Linked DNA regions of Oryctolagus cuniculus. The protein of the gene in region 3 purifies or fractionates together with the protein of the main gene of each other region. This does not show direct contact. Links are inferred from orthologs where the notes say so. Each region holds a gene or a part of one and is shown on either strand. Other genes may lie near its edges. The genes, in order: CKS1B, USP11, CDKN1A, CCNE1, CDK6, CDK14 and cyclin-A2.

The links.
Region 1: the proteins of CDKN1A (region 3) and CKS1B purify together in Homo sapiens (affinity purification with mass spectrometry; 3 studies listed by BioGRID and IntAct, counting the BioPlex papers as one, with this or other methods). This does not show direct contact. The link is inferred for Oryctolagus cuniculus from reciprocal best matches to the Homo sapiens genes CDKN1A and CKS1B.
Region 2: the proteins of CDKN1A (region 3) and USP11 purify together in Homo sapiens (affinity purification with western blotting; 4 studies listed by BioGRID, with this or other methods). This does not show direct contact. The link is inferred for Oryctolagus cuniculus from reciprocal best matches to the Homo sapiens genes CDKN1A and USP11.
Region 4: the proteins of CDKN1A (region 3) and CCNE1 purify together in Homo sapiens (affinity purification with western blotting; 19 studies listed by BioGRID and IntAct, with this or other methods). This does not show direct contact. The link is inferred for Oryctolagus cuniculus from reciprocal best matches to the Homo sapiens genes CDKN1A and CCNE1.
Region 5: the proteins of CDKN1A (region 3) and CDK6 purify together in Homo sapiens (affinity purification with western blotting; 6 studies listed by BioGRID and IntAct, counting the BioPlex papers as one, with this or other methods). This does not show direct contact. The link is inferred for Oryctolagus cuniculus from reciprocal best matches to the Homo sapiens genes CDKN1A and CDK6.
Region 6: the proteins of CDKN1A (region 3) and CDK14 purify together in Homo sapiens (affinity purification with mass spectrometry; 3 studies listed by BioGRID and IntAct, counting the BioPlex papers as one, with this or other methods). This does not show direct contact. The link is inferred for Oryctolagus cuniculus from reciprocal best matches to the Homo sapiens genes CDKN1A and CDK14.
Region 7: the proteins of CDKN1A (region 3) and cyclin-A2 purify together in Homo sapiens (affinity purification with western blotting; 11 studies listed by BioGRID and IntAct, counting the BioPlex papers as one, with this or other methods). This does not show direct contact. The link is inferred for Oryctolagus cuniculus from reciprocal best matches to the Homo sapiens genes CDKN1A and CCNA2.

Annotation. Positions count from the first base shown.
Region 1 is NC_091438.1:43,534,876-43,539,040, forward strand, and holds the start of CKS1B (cyclin-dependent kinases regulatory subunit 1), read right to left. Parts: upstream 2,801-4,165; 5' UTR 2,536-2,800; coding exon 2,477-2,535; intron 1-2,476.
Region 2 is NC_091453.1:32,773,003-32,776,502, forward strand, and holds part of USP11 (ubiquitin carboxyl-terminal hydrolase 11), read left to right. Parts: coding exon 1-98; intron 99-213; coding exon 214-275; intron 276-399; coding exon 400-496; intron 497-830; coding exon 831-1,004; intron 1,005-1,106; coding exon 1,107-1,265; intron 1,266-1,650; coding exon 1,651-1,875; intron 1,876-1,999; coding exon 2,000-2,083; intron 2,084-2,192; coding exon 2,193-2,287; intron 2,288-3,500.
Region 3 is NC_091436.1:132,894,521-132,896,786, forward strand, and holds part of CDKN1A (cyclin-dependent kinase inhibitor 1), read right to left. Parts: intron 1,472-2,266; 5' UTR 1,461-1,471; coding exon 1,016-1,460; intron 1-1,015. UniProt on the Homo sapiens protein: Plays an important role in controlling cell cycle progression and DNA damage-induced G2 arrest. Involved in p53/TP53 mediated inhibition of cellular proliferation in response to DNA damage.
Region 4 is NC_091449.1:26,436,176-26,440,220, forward strand, and holds the start of CCNE1 (G1/S-specific cyclin-E1), read right to left. Parts: upstream 2,801-4,045; 5' UTR 2,480-2,800; intron 2,395-2,479; exon of another isoform or gene 2,314-2,394; intron 2,004-2,313; 5' UTR 1,975-2,003; coding exon 1,952-1,974; intron 1,843-1,951; coding exon 1,755-1,842; intron 1,525-1,754; coding exon 1,456-1,524; intron 1-1,455. UniProt on the Homo sapiens protein: Essential for the control of the cell cycle at the G1/S (start) transition.
Region 5 is NC_091447.1:42,948,090-42,952,079, forward strand, and holds the start of CDK6 (cyclin-dependent kinase 6), read left to right. Parts: upstream 1-1,190; coding exon 1,191-1,423; intron 1,424-3,469; exon of another isoform or gene 3,470-3,829; intron 3,830-3,990. UniProt on the Homo sapiens protein: Serine/threonine-protein kinase involved in the control of the cell cycle and differentiation; promotes G1/S transition. Phosphorylates pRB/RB1 and NPM1.
Region 6 is NC_091447.1:45,005,334-45,009,558, forward strand, and holds the start of CDK14 (cyclin-dependent kinase 14), read right to left. Parts: upstream 2,801-4,225; coding exon 2,710-2,800; intron 1-2,709. UniProt on the Homo sapiens protein: Serine/threonine-protein kinase involved in the control of the eukaryotic cell cycle, whose activity is controlled by an associated cyclin.
Region 7 is NC_091435.1:65,355,125-65,359,025, forward strand, and holds cyclin-A2, read right to left. Parts: upstream 2,539-3,901; coding exon 1,681-2,538; 3' UTR 501-1,680; downstream 1-500. UniProt on the Homo sapiens protein: Cyclin which controls both the G1/S and the G2/M transition phases of the cell cycle. Functions through the formation of specific serine/threonine protein kinase holoenzyme complexes with the cyclin-dependent protein kinases CDK1 or CDK2.

The DNA.
Region 1 (4,165 bases), on a different chromosome or scaffold from region 3:
TAGTACTGGATACAGCCTGTTGGACAAGTGCCTGTATATAAAGCCAAGAAAGGAAAAAGAGAAACTGGCTTCTGGAGTTTATACAATCTTTTTTTTTTTTTTTTTTTTAAAGATTTATTTATTTGAAAGGCAGAGTTACAGAGAGGCAGAGGCAGAGAGAGAGAGAGAGAGTTCTTCTATCCACTGGTTCACTCTCCAGATGGCCGCAATGGCCAGAGCTGTGCCAATCTTGAAGCCAGGAGCTTCTTCCAGGTCTCCCACATGGATGCAGGAGCCCAAGGACTTGGGTCATCTTCCACTGCTTTCCCAAGTCACAGCAGAGAGCTGGATCAGAAGTGGAGCAGCCAGGCCTCAAACCGGCACTCATATGGGATGCTGGCACTGCAGGCAGTGGCTTTACCCGCTACGCCACAGTGTCGGCCTTTGAGTTTATACAATCTTATTGTGGGGTAGAGGCAGCTGAAAATATAGGCCAAGTTATAAAAATTCTCACAAGACTATATATATAGTTTTAAATTTTATTTATTTGAAATGCAAAGTTAGATATTTTCTGTCTGCTGGTTTATTCCCCAAAAGGCCAAAACAGGCAGAGCTGGGCCAGGCTGAAGCCAGAAGCCAGGAAATTCATCTGGGTCTCCCATGTAGGTACGGGGGCCCAGGGACTTGGACCATCCTCTGCTGCTTTCCCAGACACACTAGCAGGGAGCTGGATTGGAAGTGGAGCAGCCAGAACTTGAACTGGTGCCCGTATGGCATTGTAGGTAGCGCCTTAACCCGTTATGCCACAACAAGGCTCCTCGCAAGGGTATATTAAAGAGTGCGAATGAGTACTTCCAGTGACTGAGTGCCAGGCACTGTTGATGTTCATTTTCTGTGCCTTTGTGGATCTTAGGGTTTTCTAGTAATTACCCACAATGTAACAGGCCCTACAAAGAGCATGAAATGTTAACATCGATAAAGTGGGGTGTGGAAGACACATCACAGAGGTGAACTGTTAGTCTTCTTTCAAAAATCTTGAATCTCATTTTCCTAACTCTGAAGGGGCATGCCATGAGACTTGATTCTCTGACCAAGGATGAGTCTCCATGGCAAAGAAATGACTCCTCTGACTGGAACTGGACTCATTCAGATACACTTCATCACACGCAACAAAAATGTCCTAAATGCTCCCTCAGCACTAATTATCAGAGGTTTTTTTCCTAAAGAGATAATTCTAGTCTAAATGTCTGAAAATAGCTGACATTCTAACCAGCCCCTGGCACAAAATCTGGCCTCAGTACATTAAAACAAAACAAAACAAACCCCTCTCTTAAACCAAAACGCCACTGCCAAACTAACAGTTACATCTTCCCAGGGACGAAACTAGTGATGTCTCCCAGCCCTGCAAACACGTCATAAGCATACAGTTGGAGTTCGCTTAGTTCGGATGTAGAGGAAAACAGCTGAGGGAAATAAAAGGAATGGAGTCTGAGAAGGATCTAGGATGATCCCAGCCTGAAGCTGGTTATGTGTCTGTAAACACAGCCCGAACCGGGCTGAGGGAAGGCACGAGAAAACCAAGCTTCCATTTCCCCCTCCATTCCAGGAGGCAAGATAAAAGCCGCAAGCCGTCTTAAATATTGCAATTGATACAGATTAGTGTGACGACAACACTTGTAGAATTCTGTCTTTCCTCCTTTTCCAATCTAATATTCCTATGGGCTCAGAACTTATCAAACCCAAACGCTCCCCCATCTTGGGCATCTGGCCATCCAGTACCTCCGGGACAATTCTGGTCAAGCTGTACTTTTCCCTTCGTTGCTACAGTGTCACCTGAGGGCTCTTCCAGGGAGCCCCCGCCCCTTCCTTGCCAGGCTGTGTGTCCCCACCACGCCCCGCTCACGGCCCGGGCTCCGCAGGCCCACCACCTTCTTCCAGCCGTCTGCCAGATTCTTGCTCAGAATTTTAAAGACCGTGAGATGCTCACATCCAGTAAACAAGTGAAACCTGCACGCACTCCACTGGTTCTCAGTGCTTCTCGGCACTTTAATCCCCGGCCCGGTCCTCGACGCCCCCGTCCTAAAACAAGCCAGACAACCACGCCTCTTTCCTTCCCCAAGAATAAGCAGCATTAACTTCCTCAGCATTCTCACCGCTCGCAGTGAGAACGCGAGGAAAAGGCCAGCTCCGCTGCTGACACCTTCACCCAGTAGACTCCACAGCAGCTCCCAGTGAAGCTGAGACCAAGACCCAGAAACCCACAGGGTGAAGGTGGTCGGACTCATCACGCCTCCCCTCAACCGGGGGCTGACTCCAGACTCCACTGTTCCAGGGCGCCGGCCACCCCCCGCGCACGCGCCTTCCGCGTTCCACCAACCTCACACCCACCCCCGCTGGTCTCCTGCGCATGCGCCCCCTCTGTCGCCTCCATCCTCGCTACCAACTCCTCGTGCCTTCTCTTCTCCCGACCTCGCTACGGCCCCCCGCCGGCACTAACCGGTACTCGAACTCCTCGTCGTCGTACTTGTCCGAATAGTAAATCTGTTTGTGCGACATGATCGCTCTGCCTGCGGGCCGTCAGCCCCGCGCTGCCAACCTCCAAACAACTCCCAGCAGCACGCGCTCCCACCCTCTTTGGCCTCGCTTTCAAACACACCGCCCGCACTTCCCATTGGTCCTTTGGGCTCAAGGCGGGACAGCTCCACCTTCGAGCCTCCTATTGGCTTAGGATTTGCTTCTCCTCCAGTCTTTATTGGAGTGCGCTTCTTACGTTTCTCAAGCACAAACTTGGGTCAGAGCTAGGCCTCTAATTGGTTATCGCGGCGCCTGTGAGCGCCTTCGCGCTACCATTGGCTGATTCAGGAAACTAGGCGGGGCGAAGGAGGGACCGTGAGGTAGAGGGTCAGGGGTTAGTGAGGCCGGAAGTGAGTGTAATAAAGTTTCTCCAGGGAGGCCGGGCCGGGGAGAAAGTTGGAGCGGCGACCTAAGCAGGCAGTGGCGTGATCCGGAACCAAATCGGCCCGCGGCGCGGTGCGGAGACCCCATGAGGCCCTGGTGAGTTTTCACTTTTTTTTTTCTCTTTAGGCAACCCACTCCTCCACCCCGGAACCCCTCTCCCGGGACCCCACTTCCGGTCTTCACTGCTAAGTCCCGCCCCTGAGACCCCCTCTCCGGAAGTCCCACCTCCCAACTTCAGGGGGCTCCCTGAACCCCAGTTTTTAAATTTATTGTCTCCGACCCCTCCCTGTAGCCCAGTTTTCCTGGAAGTCCCACCCCCAGACATGCTTCCAGCTCCACAAGAAACGCTTCGTTAGTCCTCCCAGTTCTTCCAAACTCCGCCTCCTCCTCGCGACGATTCTCCGCTAACTCCTGTCTGTCAAAGATCCTATCTCCCAAAAGGGCAAAGCTCTGCTCTTGAAAGAACGATTCGAATTCACTGAGGCCACGCCCCTCGATAGGCCCCGCCCATAGAAGCCCCGCCCCTTCCGCAATCCACGTCCGATTGTCCCGGAGCCTCATCTCCTGGAAGTCTGCTGCGCATCCTAGAGGGCCACGCCCCCTAAGGAACTCGATCCGGGTGGCACCCAAGTCATCACCCCAGTTTCCTCAGTCTCAGAAGCTCCACCTGCTTACGTTTCCTGTCCTTTCTCTCTTGGGGCCTTGGGCTCAGTTTTCCCGAGGGCTTTCCCGCTCCACTAGGTGGGAGCTCTGAGGAGTGAGATTAGAGGCAGCCTTATCCTCCCCCAAGGGTGGGCCTGGGCTTGGGGTTTGGCCCGAGGACGGGACAGAGGCTTGCTCATAGTTTCCCAGCCCACCGCAGAAACAGCTGTAGGTTGAGGCTGTGGCTAGACAGGGCCGTGGATTTGCTGATGTGTGGCTTGAGGACGTGACAGGAGAGAGAACTTTGTACTACCAGAAAACGGTGGTTTGCAATGGGGTTAGGGATTTGTATCCTGTTTTTTTTTCTTTTTTCTTTTAAGGGACTCCTCAGCCTCTACTTGTTTGGCTCCATCCCCCGCACCCCCAGCCAAAATTCTTGTCTGGGCATTCCTCCTGGCTCCACTTGTCCTGCCTTCCCTGCTGGAAACATTCCTCAGGCTTTCGCCATTTCCTGCCCCTTCCCGCTCCTCCCGCCTCCTCCCTGCTGGGCTCCCCCCTCCAACACCCAATCACCTGAACTTCCAGT
Region 2 (3,500 bases), on a different chromosome or scaffold from region 3:
TGGACACGCGGCTTTGGGTCAAGAACTCAGAAGGCACTCTAGATCGCCTGTGTGACCCACACGTCACAGTGCTGGACGCTGCCCTAGAGTCTGGGCAGGTAAGAGTAGGGAGGACTTTTCTGCTCAGGTAGGCTGGGGGGAAGAGAGGAGGAAGTGCCCACCAGGCCCTCCATGAATGCCTCTGCATCCCTTCTTTCTCCTTTTCCAACCCAGCTGATTATTATGGAGACCCGAAACAGAGATGGCACTTGGCCCAGCGCGCAGCTGCATGTCATGTAAGCCTTTGGGTGGTTGGTCCACAGTGGGGGTGGCCCACAGTCAGCCAAGTGATTGCACCCATGTGCCCCTCGTCCCCATACGTAGTAGGCCTTCCGCTGACACGTTTCTCATCCAACTCAGGAGCATAGCGGAAGAAGATGAGGACTTCCAGGGCCAGCCGGGCATCTGTGGTCTTACCAATCTGGGCAACACGTGCTTCATGAACTCAGCCCTACAGGTTTGGCCATTACAACCATTTCTGGCACTGCCACAGGGTGGGTGGCAAGACCTGGGGACAGAGTAGGGGGCTGGGGCAAGGGCTCAGGTTGGAAGCTCAGGCCTCACAAGCCTGCGTCAGCATGCCCGTATGCACCCCTGAAACACCAATCCCTTCGCTCTCTGCTTGTCCCTTGCTTTCTCTAGCCTCCCCTCTACCCCCTCCCACCACTTCCTCCTCGGGCAATACTAATATCTTCTTTTTCCCGATTTCCCTTTCTCTTCCCTCTTTCTTTCCTTTTCCCTGTCCACACCTTGGCCACCTCCTCTCTCTCCTGGCCCTGCCGCCCCTGCAGTGCCTCAGCAACGTGCCACAGCTCACTGAGTACTTCCTCAACAACCGCTACCTGGAGGAGCTCAACTTCCGCAACCCGCTGGGCATGAAGGGGGAGCTCGCAGAGGCCTACGCAGACCTGGTGAAGCAGGCGTGGTCGGGCCACCACCGCTCCATCGTGCCGCACGTGTTCAAGGTGCGGCGCTACCCTGGGGCGCCCTCACCCCGCCGCCGCCCCTCCTGCCTCTGCTGACTCCCTCCGTCTCATCTCACACTCTCTCTGCCCTGCCCACCTTAGAACAAAGTCGGCCATTTTGCCTCCCAGTTTCTGGGCTACCAGCAGCACGACTCGCAGGAGCTGCTGTCATTCCTCCTGGATGGGCTGCATGAGGACCTCAACCGGGTCAAGAAGAAGGAGTACGTGGAGCTGTGCGACGCTGCTGGGCGGCCAGATCAGGTGGGTGCTCCTCAGTCCCACGGAAGCCCCCACGGCCTCTGCCTCGGGAGTTCTCTGGCCTGCCGCCGAGTACCCAGCATCCCCCTGTTTGCTGTTAAGTTCCTTTACCCTGGACGTCCACTCCAGCCTCAGTCTCGGCCCGTAGCTCCAGCACCATATCTGCCTCTGCACCTGCTCAGAGTTGTCCCCAACCCAAGCTCCTGCCCCAAATAAACTCCAGCCCTCGGAGCGAGCAGTAGATGTGCTTAGTTGTAACTGTGCTGCCGGCCCTCAGCAGCAGCCTCCCCTTTAACCCTGTACAAATCCACCCGAAACCATGATTCTGCCCTGCCCTGGGCGAGCCCCTCCTCCCGCCACACGCACACCATCATGACCCTGTCAACAGGAGGTGGCTCAGGAGGCCTGGCAGAACCACAAGCGGCGGAACGACTCTGTGATCGTGGACACGTTCCACGGCCTCTTCAAGTCCACTCTGGTGTGCCCTGATTGTGGCAATGTGTCTGTGACCTTTGACCCGTTCTGCTACCTCAGTGTCCCACTTCCTGTCAGCCACAAGAGGGTCATGGAGGTCTTCTTCATCCCTATGGATCCCCGGCGCAAGCCCGAGCAGGTATGGGGAGACGCAGGGAAGGACAGGTGGTCAGGAGCGTGGCACTGTGCCCTACCTTAAGGTTCGCTGTGTCAGCTCACCACAGACCCTTTTGATCTTTTGTGGATACTCTTTGTCCCCTCAGCACCGCGTTGTGGTCCCCAAGAAAGGCAACATCTCAGATCTGTGCGTGGCTCTGTCCAAACACACCGGTATTGCACCAGATAGGGTGAGACTGCAGAAGGAGGCCCCACGGGGGTGGGATTCAGAGGGTGGGGAGGCAGAAGGGCCAGGGGACACCTTGCGGGCTGACCAGTGTCCCCCTATCCTGTTCTCAGATGATGGTGGCCGATGTCTTCAGCCACCGCTTCTATAAGCTCTACCAGCTGGAGGACTCTCTGAGCACCATCTTGGACCGGGATGACATCTTTGTGTGAGTGAGGGGCCCAGGGGGAGACGCTGGTTCCTTGGGAAGCTGGTCTGCTGCTTTGTAGTGGCTCTACCTTCACCACCTGCCCTCTTCCTTCCTCGGCCTCCCTCGCCGGGCACCCTGCGTAGACCTTTGGCCATGTGCTGTGGCAGGGCCGGGGCGTGTGTGTGCTGTCAGCGAGGCGAGTGTTGAGGGACACAGCTTTAATACAGGGTGTCTGTGGGTGTTTTCTTCCTCATTATGGGAGGGAAGCCGCTGTTCCTTTCTTTCACTGAGCACTCACGGGGCTCCTTCTGTGCCTTCTGAGCTGAGTTCCTTACTCTGTTGAAGTCTTCAGAACAAAAAGGGGGTTTTGAAATACAGAACACTAAGATGATTTTTGAACACAGGAGCATTTGGAACAACTTTTAAATCTGTTTCAGTTTTTGAGTAAAAACTAAACATGCTTTGTGAGCAGAAAAGTTCTTTGTAAGCCAAGCAATGGTTTTTTGTGTGTGTGTTTTTATTTATTTGTGTATTTGAAAGGTGAGTGGCAGAGAGAGAGGGAGAGAGGGAGGGAGGGAGGGATGCAGATTGGTCTTCCAAATGCTGGTTCACTCCCCAAATGGTCTAAACAGCCAGGGGCTGGGCCAGGCAGAAGTCAGGAGCCTGCAACTCCATTTAGGACCCCCTGGTTGGTGGCAGGGGCTCAGGCCTCTTCTGCTGCTTTCCCAGGCACATTTGCAGGGTGCTGGATCGGAAGTGGAGCAGCTGTAATTTGAACCAGTGCTCTAACAGGAGATGCCATTGTTGCAAGCAGCCACTTAACTCACTGCACCACAGTGTTGGCCCTGAAAAAGTGTTTTTTTTTTTTTTTTAATATTTATTTACTTATTTATTTATTTAATTTGAAAGGCAGAGTTAGGGTTCGGGGGTGGATCATCCGTCTGCTGGCTCACTCCCCAATAGCTGCAGCGGCCAGGGCTGGCCATGCTGAAGCCAGGAGCCTGGAGCTTCTTCCAGGTCTCCCATGTAGGTGCAGAGGCCCAAGCACTTGGGCCATCGTCTGCTGCTTTTACAGGTGCATTAGCAGGGTGCTGAATCAGTAGAGCAGCCGCGTGCTCCAACATGGGATACCAGCATTGGAAGCCATGGCTTAACTCACTGCACTACAGTGCTGATCCTGGAAAAGTGTTTTTTTAATAGATGATTTTTAAATTCCTTTGTCACTAAAAGT
Region 3 (2,266 bases):
CTGAAAATGGCCCACAGGACGCTCGTCTGCACCCCTCAGCCTCAGCTGCCTCACCTACAAAACGAGGCGTGGGAGTGCGCCTCCAGCCCAGCAAGGAGGATGCCTGCCTCCCACACCAGGGTGCCTGGCTTCTATTCCGGCTCTCACTCCCGACTCCAGTTTCCTGCTAATGCCGACTCTGGAATTCCGGGCAGCCGCTGATGGCCCAAGAAATCGGTTTCCTGCGTTCCATGTGGGAGACCTGGATTGAATTCCCAGCTCCTGCCTGCAGCCCCAACCCAGGCTACTGAGGACATTTGGAGAGGGAACCAGCAGAAGGAAGCTTTCTTTGTGTCTCTTGAATGAATAAGTAATAAATTGCAAATGAGGCTTCTCCGTGGGAGTGCACTCTAAGGAGGAAATCAATGGTCTCTCTAAAGGCTTTGGTCCAGGGCCCGGCGTAATAGGTGACCAAATGCCAGCATCACTCATTCACCTTTCATGGAGCACCTGCTCCACCAGACACTGCTCTCCAGGCTGGGGACTCCACAATGAACAAGAGACGCCCAGATCCCTTTTTTGTGGGGCTGATATGCTAGTGGGAGAGACGGCCCGTGTCAAGGTCAGAAGGAACAGTGGATCCAGGGTAGAAAAATGCCGACGAGGACACGGCGGATAGGTGGGGGGAGGGAGGGACGCGTGTGTGATGAGGGGAGGGAATAAAGTTTGCAGAGGCCAGAATGGCGCTACGGCCAGTGTCCTCTCCCCAGCACACGCCCTGCGCGACCTCAGGCCAATCTCTCCCTCTCGGAGCCTCGTCTCCTTGGAAGGGGAGCAAGATTGTCTTCAGTCGCTCAGCAAGGACTGCCGGGTAATAAATACGCCCTGGACAAACGCTGGCTACAGCCCTGTGTGCAGCCTCACCTAGGCGGCTTCCCTTCTCGGGGACAAGCTGAAGCAAACAGGACAGGTCCCGCATGGGGGGGTTCCGAGGGCCCCAGTCCCCCCTAGCATCCCTCCCCACACCCGACCTCACCTGTCAGGCTGGTCTGCCGCCGCCGTTTCCGGCCCTGAGAGGTACCAGGCCCGCCTGGGGACTCCTCGGGCCGTTCCGGGGAGCGAGGTACCAGGGTGCAGGTCAGCGACAGGTCCACGTGGTCCTCCTGAGCCGCTGGCAGCAGGGCGGCTGAGGTGCTCGGCCGCTTGCACCCTGCCGGGTCCTCCCTGCCACCCCGGGGCCCCGGGGCCAGGTAGAGCTTGGGCAGACCCAGGCCCCGCACGCGCTCCCAGGCGAAGTTGCCCTCCAGCGGCGTCTCAGTGACAAAGTCGAAGTTCCAGCGTTCGCGGGCCTCCTGCAGGCAGTCGGCCATGAGTGCGTCGCAGTCTCGGCGCAGCTGCTCGCTGTCCACGGGCCCGAAGAGGCGGCGGCAAGCCTTGCTCCTGTGCGGGGGCTGTGGCGCCTCGTCCGACGGCTGCGACATGCTGCCTAGGGCTGGGACAGTGGAAGGGTGGCCTTGGTGAGGACGCTTCCCGGTTCCCAACAAGGACTTTCTACCGCACCCTGGCTGGGGCGGGGCATCCACCCCCACCCCCCAACAGACCCCAGGTGGGGGCAGAACTCAGCCAGCCAGGCACCCTGACGTCAATGGGGGCATGGGCAGCACGGGGCGAGCTTATGTCCACAGCATGACCTCACTGCAATGGCCTGGCCGGGAGCAGGGTCCTGTTTGCCATCAGCGTTATCAGCTAAAATCAATTTGTCCTCCCCTGAGGTGGCCCTCAGGGGTGTGAATTGCCAGAGTCCAGTAGTTTCCCAGTGATAGTCCTGGCCAGGAAGTCGGTTCCCAGAGGGAGGCGTAGGCAGGGGCTCCTCCAGCCTCCCAACACAACCTCCCCCATCATTCCTGCCTGGAAAAGTGAACCCCGGGCTTTGGAGTAAAAACACGCAGGCTGTCATCCCAGCCCCACGGCTTCCCACGTAGACGTTGCATGTCTCTGGGCCTCCGTTTCCTGGTCTATGGAAGCTGAGAGAGTGCCAGGGTGGGGGCAGGAGTCCCTCCAGGCAGGCCGAGCAGCAGCAGGTGTGACAGGGGCTGGGTTGGAGGGCAGGCTCCGCGGGGCGACCCCGACCAGTGGCTTAGCGTCTCTGCGCTCCCCTTTCCTCCTCTCTAGGAAGAGGCCGGTGACAGCAACAGTCTCAGAGGTGGGGGACATGCTTGGGCAGCACCTGGCCAAGGCGCTGAGAAGACCGTGGTGTTAGGACGCCTCTGTGCCTGCAGCTCTGGCT
Region 4 (4,045 bases), on a different chromosome or scaffold from region 3:
TTGTAACCCCAAACTCCAAATACCAAAGACACATGGATAATTTTCAAGCTGTCTTCTCCATAAAATGTGCAGAAACCTGCTAACATGAGCATGCACAACCATGAACCCGCCTTCTCATGGAGATGGCCTGGTTATCCCTGTGTCGCAGGTATCACCTCCCTAACATCCAGGGCAGAGCCAGCCCTGTCTCGGGCGCCCCAGGGCTGCTCAGGTTATCCTTGAGAACAGACACAGCTCTAACAAAACTCCAAGAACTCAGCATGGATGGCTCTGCTTCATCTTCACTTGCAAATTTGTCTTCTCTTCAAAACACCCCTGGGGTTTACCTTGAATTTCACCAAGTACAGATTCATTTTACAACACCCACAAAATCAACCTGCTTGATTAAAAGTTTATTTTTTTTTAAATGGGGGAAAAAAGGAGAATATTTGGGGATGTGCTGTCTTGTTTCCTTTGCTAGAGTTAAGTATTTCCAACAGACAAGGAAATCCACCCCTTTTCAATAGTCATTGGGTCCTCCCCAGAAGTGCTTAGTGGAGTCTTAGCACAGTGACAAATGCCATTGCAACAACGTGGCCCACCCTTCGAAGCCCTTCATGCCTGAAACCAGGCGCATGGCTCCTGATCTCAACAAAGCGAGGTGCTGCCCACTGCTAAACTAGCTGGGGCAGTGTGCTCAGGTCAAAGCGCGTCCCGCTCAGCTTTTATCAGTGGCAGAGTCAGAAGGCCTGACCAGCTAGCTTGGAGATAGGCTCCTTCCCACACTGGGGCCGTAACTACAGTCTCCAGCCATTTCTGGAGGTAAAGAGATAATGCAAGCTCTTTCTGCACGGAACTTCTGATATTACAACGATATCACGCTGCATGCAGGGAAGTTGGCAGGAACTCCCTGAGGAGGGGAAAGACAAATGCAGTCGTCAATAAGGAAAGCGTTGAGACACACACATCACACTCCTGCTGTAGCCAGGGCAAGGCCCGGGCAGCACGGATCCATGTAGGTCCTCGCTAGATGGGCTGCGAGAATTTCTGGGGCCAGAAAGGGAAGCAGTTTGTAACCTGACCTAAAGGGGATGGGAGAAGTCCTAAAGCACCATGACCATAAGCCACAGGTGTGAACAGAGGAGCGGTGGCTGCTCACACACACAGAATTCACTGGCTGTGGGGAATAGGTGGTGGGCCCAACGCTGCCCCCACACAGGACTCCGCTTCCTCCTGGGCCACAGGAGAGGACAGAGAGGACTCCAGGTCCACTCTGGGTCTTCCCGGCACACCATGCGCCCTCAGAGAGGACCAGCCAGGAATCCCAAGACCAGCGCATGCTCGGGCACACTGTGGGTGCGGACAGGGAAGAACTCTAAGCCAGGGTCCTCAGCAGGAGAGGAGACCTGGGAAGGCCTCTGGACTCAGGGTCGGTGGGAGGCCCTCCAGGCAGGCCCAAGCCTCCAGCACACCTACCTGACTGCCGCACTGGCCTCTCACAGTCCTGTCAATCTTGGCAATTTCCTCATCTGGATCCTGCAAAAACTAACACAGAACCACCCCCACCCCCCAAGGACGCACACCAAACAACCCAAAGACAAAAACACACAGAGAAAAGGGGGGATAGTCGATTAGAGTGTGAGCACCGTTTCTGCCCCAAAGAGCCCACCCACACCCTCAACCCCCTGCAGCAAATCCGAGGCAAACCCCAGCCTGGTACCCAGGTAAGATGGAGGGGTTAGGACTTCTCCCCAACCTGTCTCCTTTGTACTCACAACGGCCACATTTGCCTTCCTTTTCCTGGACCGGACAGAGAAGTCGCTGCCGCCGTCGTCTTTCATGGTGCCCCGTTCCTTCGCATCCCTGCAGAGCCAGGGTGGCACCGAGGCAGGGGTGAGCCCTCCCCCGACCCCGGCCGCCCCTCCCCCACCGCCGCACACCCTCCCTGTCCCACTGCGGCCGGGCCACTCACCTCTCTTTCCTCTCCCTGGGCATGGCGCGGGGCTCCAGCTAGCACCTCGGGCCTGGGGGCACCAAGTGGGCAGCGAGGTGAGCGCCGCAGGCCGCGGGGGCCAGAGCCTAAGGGCTGGCCCCGGGCACCCCTCCCCCTCCCGCGCGGGTGGCGGCGGCGGCGGGAGCCTCCCGGGCCGGCCGGGAAAATGGCCGATGGGCCCGGGGTGGCCTGTCACCCGCCGCGCCGCCCGCAGCCTGCGATCCCGGGTCCGAGCCCGGGATGGGGAAGGCCCTGGATATCCCGAGACCCCCCCCCCCGCCAACCCATCACCTCCCTAGGGGCCGGGGCTGCCTCAGCCTCCCCTCAACACCTCTCCCTACCCCATCTCCGGGCCACCCTGCCCCAGGGCACCCCGCGCTGATGCCCCCGGGACCCGGCGACCCGCCCCACCCCCACTCCCACCCCCACCCCCACCCCGGCCCGGGTCGGGCGCTCGCGAAGTCGCCCCGCGGCGCCCGTCCCAGCAGCCCGCGGCGGGGCGCTTACCCGAAGCCGTCCCGGCGGCAGACAGCGGCGCACGAGCCGGGGCAGGAGCCAGGAGGCTGGAAGCGGCAGGCGAGCGGAAAGCCGGGAGGCGGCGGCGGGCCGAGCGCGCGGCGGTGGCGGGATCCGCGCCTGCCCCCTACACCGCGCTGGCGGCCGAGCCGGCTGCTCCTGCGCCCGGCTTAGAGCGGGACATTTAAAAATCCCTGCGCGCGGAACCGGCCCCGGCCCGCCCTCGCGCCTCCCCGCAGCCTCCGCCCCGCCCCGTCCCGGCTCCGAGCCCCTCAGAGCCAGCCCAAGGGCGCGGGCCCGCCCAGCGGCTGCCCTCAGAACCGCCTCCGCCGCCGCGCCGGCCAGCGAGGTGCACGGGCCGCGGGGGCGGGGCTACCGCCGGGGGCGGGCCGCGGGGCGGGGCCTCGCGCAGATGCCGCGAGGGGCGGGGCCAAGTGACAGGGCCTGCGCGCCAGACGGACAGGACGCGGGACGTGGTGGGCGGAGCCAGAGGGCCGTGGCGGGGCCTGCGCGGGGCGGGACGCGGGAGAGCGGGCCGGCGCGCGCGGAGAAGGGCGGGGCCGCGCCGGGCGCAACGCGGGAGAAGTCTGGCGCGAGCGCCGCGGAGGGGCGGGGCCGAGCGGCGCCGGAGTGGCAGCAAGCCGCGTGGCGGGCGCGGGTGGAATGTAAACACGGCGAGCGGCCGGGTTCGGGCCCAGCGCGTCTGGCGTGGCCGATGCGGGAGAGCGTGCGGCCCACAGCACCCGCTGTCCCCGGGGCTGCCGCGCGCCGCCGCCGCTGCCGCGCGCGCACCGTCCCGCCTGGCACGTCTTCCCCGCCCCTGAGACGCCGGGTTCCGGGCCCTGCGTGTCAGGGCGGGGATGTCCCCAAGGTCACAGCGCCCGGGGCCTGGGCCTAGAACCTGGGCCGTTGGGAGCCGCGTCTGGTGCCCTCTGTGTGTGTCCGTCTGCCAGTGCATTTGTTCTTTCCTTCGTTCCACTCATTCCAGCACCTTCCATGTACGGTCTTCCATCTGGGCCCTGCCCCAGAAGCCAGAGCGGCAGAAGGCCTCCTTGACCCGGGGCTTCCTGTGCAACCATCTCTCAGTTAAAACCTTCCGGGTGCTTGCCACCCATCTGAGGCTCAGAGGAGCTCCCTCGCCCTCTGGCTCCAAGTCTGGCTCCAACATGGCCCCTCACAGCTCCCCTATGTGCCTTCTGCCCGTTCTCACCTCAGGGCTTTGGAACCTGCCCCTCAGCTCTGAGCCCGCCTCTGCCTCTGCCCCTGCCCCTGCCCCTGCCCCTGCCCCTGCGCCTGCCCCTGCCCCTGCCCCTGCCCCTGCCTCTGCCTCTGCCTCGGAGTCCTCGGGTCACTGAGGGCACCTGCCTCAGCCCTACTCGCTGCGGGGACCCCCAGCCCTTGGTGTAGTGCCTGGAAGAAGGGGGACACCCAAGTTGTATTTATGAATGCATGGAGAAGCTGTGATGTTCGGCAGATTAGGTGTATGAAACACACTTTAAAAATTTTATCCATTTGAAAGAGTGGAAAAAGAGGCAGAGAGAGACATATCTCTACTGG
Region 5 (3,990 bases), on a different chromosome or scaffold from region 3:
TCCCGGGAGCCGGGGGGCCACGGCGCCGCGGACGGCCTCGCGGGTTGGGGAAAGGGTGGCGAGGGCAGGCTCCGGGGGGCGCAGCCCCTTCCCCCTCGGCCCGGGAGGCGCAGCGTCGACGCCCCCCGCCCCCACCACCCTCTGGGGAGGTAGCGTTCGGCTCAGGTTGACCTGGGCTGGAAACTTCGGGGCGAGTCGGCGGTCCTGGTGTCTTCCTCCCCGCGCTGAGTCCCGGAGGCGGACGCCCCTCGCCCCCACCCTCGGCATCCCACGTGGGGCTGCCCCTTCCAGGGCCTCCGGCTCGCCCACCCCGGCGCAGCCCAGCCCGCCCCGACCAGATGGCTGATTCTCCCGGGGTTTCCACCAGGGAGGTCCCTCGGAGTCGGAGGCAGGATTGCGTTCCCGGCCGAGGCGCCTCGGCCCCCGGCGAGACCACGTACGTGTGCGCCGCGTCTTTAAAGGTCTCCCCCTTAGAAAAACTGAAAGTAGAAAAAGAAAGGAAGCAATTTCCGAGCAGATGCGTGACGACCCCTTCTCGCACCCTGCCCGGCCGCGGGCTCCGGGGTCCCGGGAGCCCCCACCCGCGTCCAGGCCCCCGGGCGGCGCGGCGCGCGAGGGATCCGCGCGGAGCCGTGACATTGACGCGCCCGGCGCCTCCCCTCCCCCGCGCTCCCGGCACACTCCGGGCCGCTCGGCACGCCCCCTCCCGTTGCCCTGCGTCCCGCGCGGCGCGCTCATCCCCGAGGGGCCCCTGCAGCCTCGCCGCGCGCAGACGGCTGCAGCCCTGCGGGGAGAGAAAGTGACCTCGCTTTGCTCGGGAGGAGCCAGGCAGGCTTGGGCGGCGCGGGAGAGGGCCGGGCGCGCGTGGGGGCGCCGTGGAGGAGGGGAGGCTGCAGGAACCCCGAGGAAGGCTCCCGGGCGGTCTGACTTGTCGTCCTCTCTCCTGTCCCCCGTTTCAGTCGCAAAGACCCCGGACCGAGACGCGCTCGGGTGGAGACTATGTGATCGCCTCGGTGTCGGTGCGGAGGACTTCGCTTCGGGGAGGGAAGAGGAGGGCTCGGCTCGCTCCCCGGCGGCTCGGCAGGCGGAGTTTCGCCGCGGCGGCACCAGGGTTGCGCCAGCCCGCGCCGGAGCCGGCGGGGCCGAGGAGAGCGGGACCGAGCTCCGGGGAGCCGCGGCGTGCAGGCGGCATGGAGAAGGACGGCCTGAGCCGCGCCGACCAGCAGTACGAGTGCGTGGCGGAGATCGGGGAGGGCGCCTACGGGAAGGTGTTCAAGGCCCGCGACCTCAAGAACGGAGGCCGGTTCGTAGCGCTGAAGCGCGTGCGGGTGCAGACGGGCGAGGAAGGCATGCCGCTCTCCACCATCCGCGAGGTGGCGGTGCTGAGGCACCTGGAGACCTTCGAGCACCCCAACGTGGTCAGGTGAGCCCTGGGGTCCGCGCCGTCGGGGGCCCGGGGAGGTGCGGGCTTCGCCGGCGCCGTGCCGCCGGTGTTTTCTCCCCGACCGCCCCGAGGGCCTTGCGGGGGAGGCCTTGGGGGCAGAACCAACAGACCTGAGACCACTGCTGCTTGCGTTTCCCGGCTTCGGGGGATCTTTCTTTCTTTCTTTCTTTCTTTCTTTCTTTCTTTCTTTCTTTCTTTCTTTCTTTCTTTCTTTCTCTTTCTCTCTCTCTCTCTCTCTCTCTCTCTCTCTCTCTCTTTCTTTCTTGCGACTGCAAAGGAGAGGGAGCAGGTTGTCCGTGTGATAAGCGAGGAGAAAACTTCTAGGGTGGAGCCTTGCACAAATGAGGTCTTTAAAAATGCAGAAACGGATAAGAATATGTTTGCTAATCACACCCAGTTTCTCTGTATTAAAGTTGCACAATGAGAATGGCTTACTGATGATCCGGGGAGTCGCCCAGTGGCAGACAGCATCGTCCCAGAGCTGTCATCCTTCTTGTCCGTGCCACTTCTCTCTGGGCTGGCATAGCCCCTGGACCACCGCTGCCAAGGGATGGGTGTCCAAGGTGTGGTGGCTTTAGATTCTCAGTGCTCTTTGTCCTTGCTTTTCCTGGGTGACTGGCAGGAGTGGGGTACGCAGTCAGTCCCTGAAGTCTCTGCTGTGCTGTGACCGGTATTAAAGATATTAAATGAAACTGTGTGTGTGTGTGTGAGTGAGACTTAGGGGAATGGTGGGTTCTTGGTGATCCTGGAATCGCCCCTTTGCGCAGTTGACTGTGTGTGCGTTTGTGTCATCTTGTTTTTAAACAGAGGAGCTGCATGGCTTCAGGTCACAAAGGCATGCACGGAGGCAGAGCGGGTTGTGGACTCCTCACGCGTTGGGAGAAGGAGGTCCCAGACCCTCCTTCCGCGAGGCATTGTGCTCAACACTTACGTGCCTGCTGCGTGCGCTGCGGATGAAGTGATGTAAATAAGCATGGCTAAATATTTTTGTGAAAAGTCAAACAGTTTAACATTACTCATCAAAACGGAGCGACCCGAGAATGACCTGAAATACCAAACCCTGGACAGGCTCAGGGAGACCGGGTGCCTGCAGTCTCCGTGGGAGGTTCTGACCTGCCTCTTCTTACCCTAGGCTGGGTGATTGGTGTAGTGTTTTGTTCCCAAGACAGTGAAGACTCAGGCTGGAAGGCAGCAGAGAATCATAAATACATAAATAAGGTAGTAAATGACTGTAAAGATAGGACTCCATTATACCTCTCCATCAGCTTGTCAAGGGTGGAGGTCGAAGATAAAGAGACTGGGAGAGTGTTTTGGGAGGTGGGCTTACATATTAAAGCGACAGGTTACCTTTTCTCCGTGTTTTTGAAAAAACTAAACAAACAAACAAACAAAAAAACAAAATACCCCTGGAGGGTGTGTTTGTTGGTATCAGAGTGGGCGTAGAGGGGACAGTTAGCTCCCTCTAACTTAGTACTTTCCCTAGGGTGTCGCCTAAGCCCTTCCAAAGGGTGACTTCACCAGTAGAATTTTGAGACCAAGATTTCTGGTTTTGTCCCATCCCAGGCAGCTGCCACATCTGACCTTCCAGCATGGGGGTGTTACAGAGGCACGCTGGTGGTACTACCACTGTTGTTAACGAGGCAGGACTCGCTCTCCTGACGGAGGAGAGCTCGCGCCCCGTGCTGCCGCGCTGGGGCCCCTCCGTCCCACCCGCGGGGTGAAACCTGCTGAGGCTGGTGTGTCTTCAGAGATCTCTCACTGAGCCACAACTGAGATTCTGCACTGCAAATGTCAGGAGGATTTACTTAACGAATCAGAAGACACCTTTTTCTAAGACTGTCTTTGCCTGTTGAGCGGTGCGGTGCCACCCACCCCTTGGAGTTGGTAGTTGGTGAGGGTCAAGTGAGACGCCATGTGTGAAAACACTTTGTGCATCTAGAAGCACTTCAGGTGTCTACACATTGTGTTCCTGAAGATTAGTGGGACGCGCTTGCCCAGAACAGGTTCCCAGCAGGCATCAGTGCACCTGGCCTTTTTATTTTTTTTTCCAAGAACAAATCATATTCATACCCTTAGATTACAGGCTTCGGAGCCACAGGGGCTACTTGAGTACAGTGAGCCTGTAGTTTGTCCACAAAGGCTGTCAGTCATATGCCATGAAGCTCAGTGACACTTGAGGAAATTATTGATGATGTCACCCTCACGAGCTACAGATCTCTCTTCCTGTTTCATTTCCTTCCTGTTTCTTCTTCCACCGCTGCCTTGGGACGACCACTGGCTCCCATGATCGCCACACTGAGCACACTGAGCAGTAACGGATTTCAGAGGTGGCTACTCTGTTCAGGCAGAGTCAGGAAATCAAGGACAGGTGACGGCAGTTCTTCTCTGCGGAGAGGGAGAGAGAGAGTTGTCAGTTTGACCCCAAGCCTGTGATTTGTTGCTGCCCCCAGGATCAGCTTTACAGGCTGATGCTTGGTTCTTTAAATGTTTCTTAAAAGGGCAGATGCCATTATAAGTGCCTCCAAGTCATAAGTAATTGATCGTAA
Region 6 (4,225 bases), on a different chromosome or scaffold from region 3:
ATAAACACCCATTGGTTATCATCCATTTTTTAACATTATCCTCATTTTCTATAGATGAATGTTTTAGTAATTTCTTATAGATAAACAAAGATAATGTACATGTCACTATATAACAAGCTACAGTTCTGAATCACACTAGAAAAGAAAAGTCAAGTCAGCACATTTGTTTCAAAAGCCATCTTAGACTGGTTAAATGAAACGACTACATTGCAATGCTGGATTATTCAACAGGAATAAGCCATTTTCTCTGAACTCCCCATTAAGTACCCACGTAGAAAGGATAAGCAGAAACCAGAAGGAATGACAACAGCTTCTAAATTGATCTTCACCTTGTGACAAATACTGCATTCGATATGCTATCTTTCTATCCAACTCCAACTTCACAACAACTAAATGAATACTCACAGAGGAGGACTCTGGAGTTGAAGGAAACACTACCGGTTGCTCAAGGTAAGCAGGGAAAAAGAGGTTCAAGCCCAGGCTTGCCTCCAAACTTCAAGCCCATCCTGTTTGAGGGCTGGCTGTCCCACAAAGTCAGTGACCACTGTGTCCCCCTTCTCTCACCTTCTTCTGTGAGCCGGGCAATGTCGGCACAATACAATCACTGATGAAACTAACAATAACACAGCGAGAACATCTGAGTCTTTATTATGTATTGTTTCACCAAGTACCAACCACAACACTTAGCTACATACGGAAAAAGTGAAACTCAGGGAAGTAAGGGGACCTGTCCAAGGTCACTCAGCTAGGAGTGGCAACATGGGGACTATCCAGTCCATCTAACACACAGCTTACATTCCTAACTCATGCAATCCCATAACACCAGCATCATCCTCAACTCAACAGCCTCCAGTACCTCGAAGGTCCTTAATCAATGAGAATGAATGCATCACTTTTGGTGTTGCAAAAAGAAAAGAAAATAAGTACATAAGTTTTATTTTTCTGTGATGCTATTTCTAACAAGTATGCTGACCTTGGGATACAACTCTAATCACTTACAATTCCAGTATCTCCTCTTAGAGCATTCCACAGTGAGACCCGCTATTCAGAATCACGACCCTCCATCACTCTAAGAAATAATCAGTCATGTTCACTGCACCAAACTGTTTCCTGAAGGGAGCATATAAAATCCACTAGATCTTAAGACATTTTTAACAAGAGCTGGACTCAAAAAGAGTTTCACATCACTAAATCTCAGTAAGCTAGAAAATCCAATTAACTGTAATACCCCCATTTGCCAGCACTGCAGTTAATCCAAATTTTACTGATTGTCAATCAAAACCTTGAAATTATTTAAACATAAGGAATTTTTATACTAATGTCCTTAGTTTCTTACTGAGACTCGATTGGGATGAATTATTTAACATAAAACTGGAGGGCCTCCAACACAGTCATTAGCATTAGTAAATACAGTTCGTGTGTGTTAGAACAGAGCTTAATGGACTCTGTGATGGTCTGGGTGGGGGCTGAGACACTCCGGTTAATCACGCACAGGACTCAACACCTCAGAGTCTCACACTTCCCTAACTCCAAACTTCATCTGAATGTAGGGACTGCTCCCTGAGCATCCCTAACTATGACGGATGAGACTGCAAACGCATACACACAGTGAATTAAACCCGGGCCAATTTTGGTTTTGCAGCATAACGTTACAGTCATCTTGGGAAACCTGAAGTCAGAAGACAACCAAAGGGGGGGGGGGGGGACAAATGTTGACTCAATCTTGACCCCCGTTTTCTCTCACTTGAACAAAGTTTGCATATGTTACAACGAGTGAGTGGACGGATGACGGCAGCACTCCTGTTCGCCCCAGGTTTTCACTCTAAGAATTAGCACCTTTCTGCTTCACTTCATTAACGTGAGACAAAGGCCAAAGGATTCCTAGGGACCCCGGGGGTCGTTTCTCTGCTCGCCGAGAGCAGGTACCTGCATCGGTGAAAAGTTATGACAGCTGGGGAGGCAGCTACGATCTGCAGCTAAAAGGGGGTTTCTGTGCCAAAAGTCAAAATCGAGTTCACACGTTCCACGTGACACCGCTGTCACCCCGTCATGCACGGCCTGACACGGTTCTAACCATCCCAAACCCTCCTCTGGGGCTTTTTGTTAGTCGGTTACAAGACAATAGCCCCCGGCTCCAGGAATCAGACCGAACCGGGAGCCTCAATTCCTAGGCGTCCGGAGAACTTCCCGGCGCGCCTTTTCCTCCAGCTGCGGGGCGATCAGGGGACCTCGGCACTGGCACCGCCAAACCTCGCTTTCTAGGACAGCAAGTGCCGAACAAAAGGTCTCCAGGTGTCTCTCCCACTTCCCTGTGCGTCGCTAGGTTAAACAGCACCAGGGCACGGCCCAGCCTTCCGCCAATTTCCAAAGCGGAATCTCTAGCCTCCGCACCCGACACCGAAGCCCGCAGCGCGACAATTAGCCCGAGACCCCGGCGCGCTGCGGGGCGGCGGAGCCCCCTCGCCCGCGCCCGCGGGCGCCAGGAGCGAGCACACGGGATGGGGAGGACGCCCCCAACCCCGGGTCTGAAGCCATCCACGCAGGAGCCAGGTCAGGGGGCGCAGGGGTCTCCCCTCCCGCCTGCGCCGTCGCCCGGGTCGCCGCCTCCCGCCAGCCCTGCCCGGGCGGCAGCTGCCCGGCTGGGGCGTCGGGGCGCGAGGCCGAGGGGAGCGGGACCGGGGTGGGGGGCGGGGGGCGCTGGCCACTCACCGATGCGGCTGAAACTCTCCGACAAAGTTCTCCGCAACTTCTTCATCTTGCCGATCTTTTCGGCCGGCTGCGGCTCAATGAGGTCGCACATCTGGACGACGCGGGGCCCGGGCAACTTCCCTCAAACTGGTCCAGAGCGGAGCGCAGACAACGGCGAGGGCGCGCGGCGCGGGAAGGCGGCGCCTCCGGCTCGTCCTCCTCACCGCCTCCTCCCCGGCCGGCGGCGACGCGCAGGGCTCGGGAGGCGAGCGGCCGGGCAGGCTCTGCTCGGGCCTGGGCCGCGGCGGGGCTGACGGGCGGGCGGGCGGGGGTGTTTTACGTGGTGCCGGGGGCGGCCGCGCTCGCCGCCGCTGAGGTGGCCCCGCGCCGCGCCGCCGCCGCCGCCCGGCTCATTTTTCCCTCCTTTGTAAAGCGGGCGAAGCGCGGCCGGCGGCCGGCAGGGGGGGCGGCGCGGCCGCAGTCGGAGGCTGAGGAGGCGGAGGCGGGGGCGGGCCCGTTCGCGGTGCGGGAGCCGCGGGGCGCTGCGGGTGCGGGCACAAGTTCTCAGCCCCGAGTTGCGGGCGCCAGGCAGGAAGAGCCGGCGGCGCGGAACCGCCCCCTCGCCGCCGCCCCGCCCACCCCGCCGCGGAGGCCCCCGGGGCGCGGGACCCCGGCGCGACCGCGCTGCGAGCCCGCGGCCCCCGCGGCCCTCGCGGGCCGGCTCGCGCCCCGGCGGCGCCCCCACCCGGCCGGCCGGCCGGCCGCCCCTCCCGGGGGCTCGGGGACCGCGACGCCGAGGGCCGCGTCCCGGACCGCGCCTCAGGGTGTGAGGGAGCTGCTCGCTGGCGCGGTGGTCTCCTTGGCTCCGACGCGCGCGGGCGGTGCGCGGGGGAGGCCGCAGGGAGGTTTAGCGGTGACCGTTATTATTATTGCCCTTTTATGCCGACGACGTTGTGAAGTGCGCGCCCCAGAGGGAAAAGTGGGCCCGTCTTTTGTGGAGGTCGAGCGCGGACACGGAAGCTTCCACGCTAACCCCCCGCAGGCAGGGGGTCGTGCGGTGCCCCTCCCCACTGGTTGCAGGTGCAGGGGTTTCAGGCTAGAACGCCTGGCTCGTCGGTGCAGAGAACAGCGGCCCTCGGCCTGCAGACACCTCACTCGGACAGTGTGTTTCCGAGTTGGAAGACCTGCCGGCTGAAAACGATCCTGACCTCCGTTTCCCAAAACCTCAAAAGAATGAACCGACCCGACGGGGGAGGTTTATAAAATCCCAGGACAAACAGTTCCGGCGGCAAGCCCACGCAGTCGTGGTGTGGCGCGAGCTGCGAACGCCGGTGCCCTGGGGAGCGCGAAGGAAGAGGGGTGGGGCCGGAGGGCGTTGATTTGAGGCCAGCAAAGTCCTTAAGAATAGAAATGTTAGTGATCTGGAGTCATCCGGCTGTGTGATAAGGCCTTGTGCGGGTGGGACAATGCTGTTTGGTTTAAAGGAAGTTTGGGGGAGTTCAGAGATTTTTATCTGAAGACAAAAACTAGCCCCCTG
Region 7 (3,901 bases), on a different chromosome or scaffold from region 3:
AAATTTTCCTATTATTTTTTCTTTTATATTTTTGTTAAAATTGGTTCTTTTTTTTCCTAAAATATTTATTCATTTATTTATTCTATTGGCAGAGTGACAGAGAGAGTGAGTCTCCCTCTCTCTGTGTCTCTCTCTCTCTCAGATCTACACACACACACACACCCACACACACAGCAAGAGCAAGAAATATATATAGGGATCTTTCATCCACTAGTTTATTCATCAAATGGTCAAAATATTCAGAGTTGGGCTAGGGCAAAGCCAGGAGCCAGGAATTCATCATGTTTTCCAATGGGTGGCAGGTACCTAAGTCCTTGGGTCATCATCCACTGCATTCCTAGGAACATTAACAGGGAGCTGGATTGGAAGAACAGCAGCTGGAACTTGAACCTACACTTTGATATGAGATGCTAGCATTGTAAGTTGTCGCTTAATATGTTGTGCCACAATGCTAGTTCCATGTAGGTAATTTTTCTATTGATTTGTTTTCCAATTCACTATTTTTTTTTTAAGGTAACAAGTTTTTGGTTTATTTCAAACATGTACATGTAACTTAAGAGTTTGAGGCTTGCTCTCTGGTTTGACTCTCATCTTACAGAACTGTTATACACAGACATCCCTTTTTCATCAGCTATTATGTGTTTTTTTCACCCTGTAATTAATAAAAATTAGCACCTAACTCTCTATTAAACTATTTTTGGATACCTTTCAGGGTTACTGTATTTACTTTTCCTGCTGTCACATTTTGTACCCTAGTGCAAAAAAATAAAAGACCTCCTATTTCAGTGATCCAAAACTTAAGCATAATTAAGTGAACTGTTAATTTATTTTACTTTATCCGCAGAACACAGACCACCATTGGGAAACAAGAAAAAGCACCAAGTAAAAAGCCAATGAAAAAGAGAAAAAAGAAGAGAGCTGCTAATTAAAGCTAACATAGTTGTATATTTGTATATATAACTATTAGATGTATTTATTCAGTGCTAACAACCTGGGTATCATTTATTCACAAATCCCTAAGTTTTATTTTTTTAACATTAAAGTGAATGTTCTAGAGCTTTTTCTCTGAAAATTTTGTCATCTCAAAGCCTTATTCCCCAACCTGTGTATGTGTAAAGTGTAAAAATTGATGAGGAATAAAATAATCTGATAGGCTGCTGTGTGTGTACAAAGAAGAATGATTTTCATCGTACTGGTAAATAAGCACAGATTTATTGTGCAGAAATCGGCAGACTGATCCAGTTGCTTAGGAAAATGGATATTAGAACATTGAGGGTCTGTTTTCCTAAAGTCAACTTTTTAGAGAGTGGCTTTCCACTCCCCACTGTACTGTATAAGCCAGGTAACTTTTCTAAGAAATCTTGAAGTCAGGTTTTTATCTCAAATTAAATTTGACTTATAAAATTTTCCAAATCAATTTATTAATTCTTAATATCCTGACAGCTGGCATCATTAATACTTTTAACAAAACCACTTAAAATTAGCCAAATATCTATGATAGATACATGTACAAAAGATATACAAATTAAAACCATTTAAAAAGTAATAGATACCATAATTTGTTCTTGTCCATAACTTCTGTATTCAGAAATGATTGTAACATTCAAAACCCAAGATAAAAACTGTACACAATATACTTTGAGTGATTTACATCTTAGAAACAAATGCAGTCTTTCACTGTTAGACATTTAGTGTCTCTGGTGGGTTGAGGAGGGAAACACCATGATACTTTGAATTTTTGTACTTTTCTCTTATTGATTGTTGTGCATGCTGTGGTGCTTTGAGGTAGGTCTGGTGAAGGTCCATGAGACAAGGCTTAAGAGTCTCCAGAGTGTATCCAGTCTTTCGTACTAATGATTCAGGCCAGCTTTGTCCCGTGACTGTGTAGAGTGCTAAATGAAATGCTGCTCCAGCAATAACTGATGGCAGATACTTTAGGTATGGGTCAGCATCTATCAAACTTAATTCTCCCAAAAACATTGCTAAACTTTCGACTTTGCAGTTTGCAGGCTGCTGATGTAGAAAGTATTGGGTAAGAAACTGATTTACCGTTGGTGCAGCTAAGTCAAAAGCAAGGACTTTCAAAACTAGATGCTCCATTCTCAGAACTTGTTTCTTTGTATAGGTATCATCTGTAATGTATACAAACTCTGCTACTTCTGGTGGGTATATTTCTTCAAATTTTGAGGCTAGCAGCATAGCAGCAGTGCCCACAAGCTGAAGCTTTCCTCTCAACACAGACATTGAAGAAAGAAACCTATCGATGTAGTTCACCGCCAAATGCAGAGTCTCATTCTGTAGTTTATATTCCTCTCCTACTTCAACTAACCAGTCCACGAGGATAGCCCTCATACTGTTAGTGATGTCAGGCTGTTTCTTCATGTAACCCACTTTAGGTTTACATTTAACCTCCATTTCCCTAAGATATGTGTGAATATCCTCATGGTAGTCTGGGACTTCATTAACACTCACTGGCTTTTCATCTTCTAATACAATTGACATGTCCATAGTATATGGTGACTCGAAACTACCATCCATTGGCTAATCAAGAGGTACCAGTGGTTTTCTTTGTCCAGGTAAAGTGATGGCTGAATTAAAAGCCAGGACATCTTCAGGCTTGTCTTTTTTAGATTCCGTGGGCCTCTTGGGAGGCTCCTCTTCTGCTTCATCCACATGAATGGTGAATGCAGGCTGTTTACTGTTTGCTTTCCAAGGAGGAACAGAGACCTGCTCATCATTTATAGGAAGATCCTTAAGAGGTGCAACCCGTCGCGTCGTGGGCCTCTGTTGTGGAACTGGACCCCGGGAGTTCCCAGCCTTCAGTACCACCAGAGCAGCCTGGGCCCGCGGCTGCTGGGCGTGCACCGCCTTCTCGGGGTTGATGTTCTCCTGGTCCTCTAGGAGCGCCGAGCCCGCCTCGCCGGCCGCGGGCTTCGGCACGTTGTGGCCCAACATCGTTGCTCCAGGGAGCTGGCGGCGGGATCAGTCTGCCGAGCCAAGCAGCGTGCACACTCCGCCCAGTCGACCAGCGGCGCCGATCCCGCCCAGGAACGCTCCAGCCGTAGCCCCTCGCCGCAGCCCGGGCCAGTCTGCCAGCCCTCCCGCTCGCTCCCCTGTCTCCGGAACGCGCAGGATCGAGGAGGTTGCGAGAGGCGCAGGCAAACGCTGCCGGGCGCGGAGGGCAAAAAAAAATCCAATTCACTATTGCTTCCTCTTTCTCTCCCATTCCACTGTTGAGCCCATTCATGGAGTTTTCAAAATATTAGTTATTGAATATTTTATTTCAAAATATATTTTCTTCTTTATATATTCTTTTCTTTGGCTAAAACTTTATGTTTTTTATATTTGTTCCAAGTATATTCATGATTATTGTGGAAGTATTTTTATTGTAGAGTCTACAAAATCCTTGTTAGACAACCCTGAGTGTCAACATCTTTAGATCATGTTTTCTCACTCTAATTGAGAATAGCCTAGTTTTCCTTTTAACATAAGTGATTATTAAAATTAAATTCTTGATATATTAGTGATTAATATTGTGAGACATTTGATCTCATTTAAATATTTGATATGGCAGGATCCTATGACGCTACTCCAATGGGGAAAGGACATCATCTTATTATCAGCAGCTTGGCCTCCATTGACACTGGGGAAGGGGTACTCTTTATAAGTGTGGGGCAGTAGTAGAAGACAAGACTCTCCACTATGTACCTACTAATACTACTCAGGCTGGATGTGGAAGAATTGCCTCATTACTGATCCCCATGTGGCTTCTCTGACACTTTCAGGGGATGGTTTGCCTTGTTACTTTTAAGATTAGCTGAAGTCGTAACTCTGTATTTGGTCTTCTCGGACATCCATCCAGCAGGGAAGGAGAGGGGCACCTCAAAATCTCCATGTCATA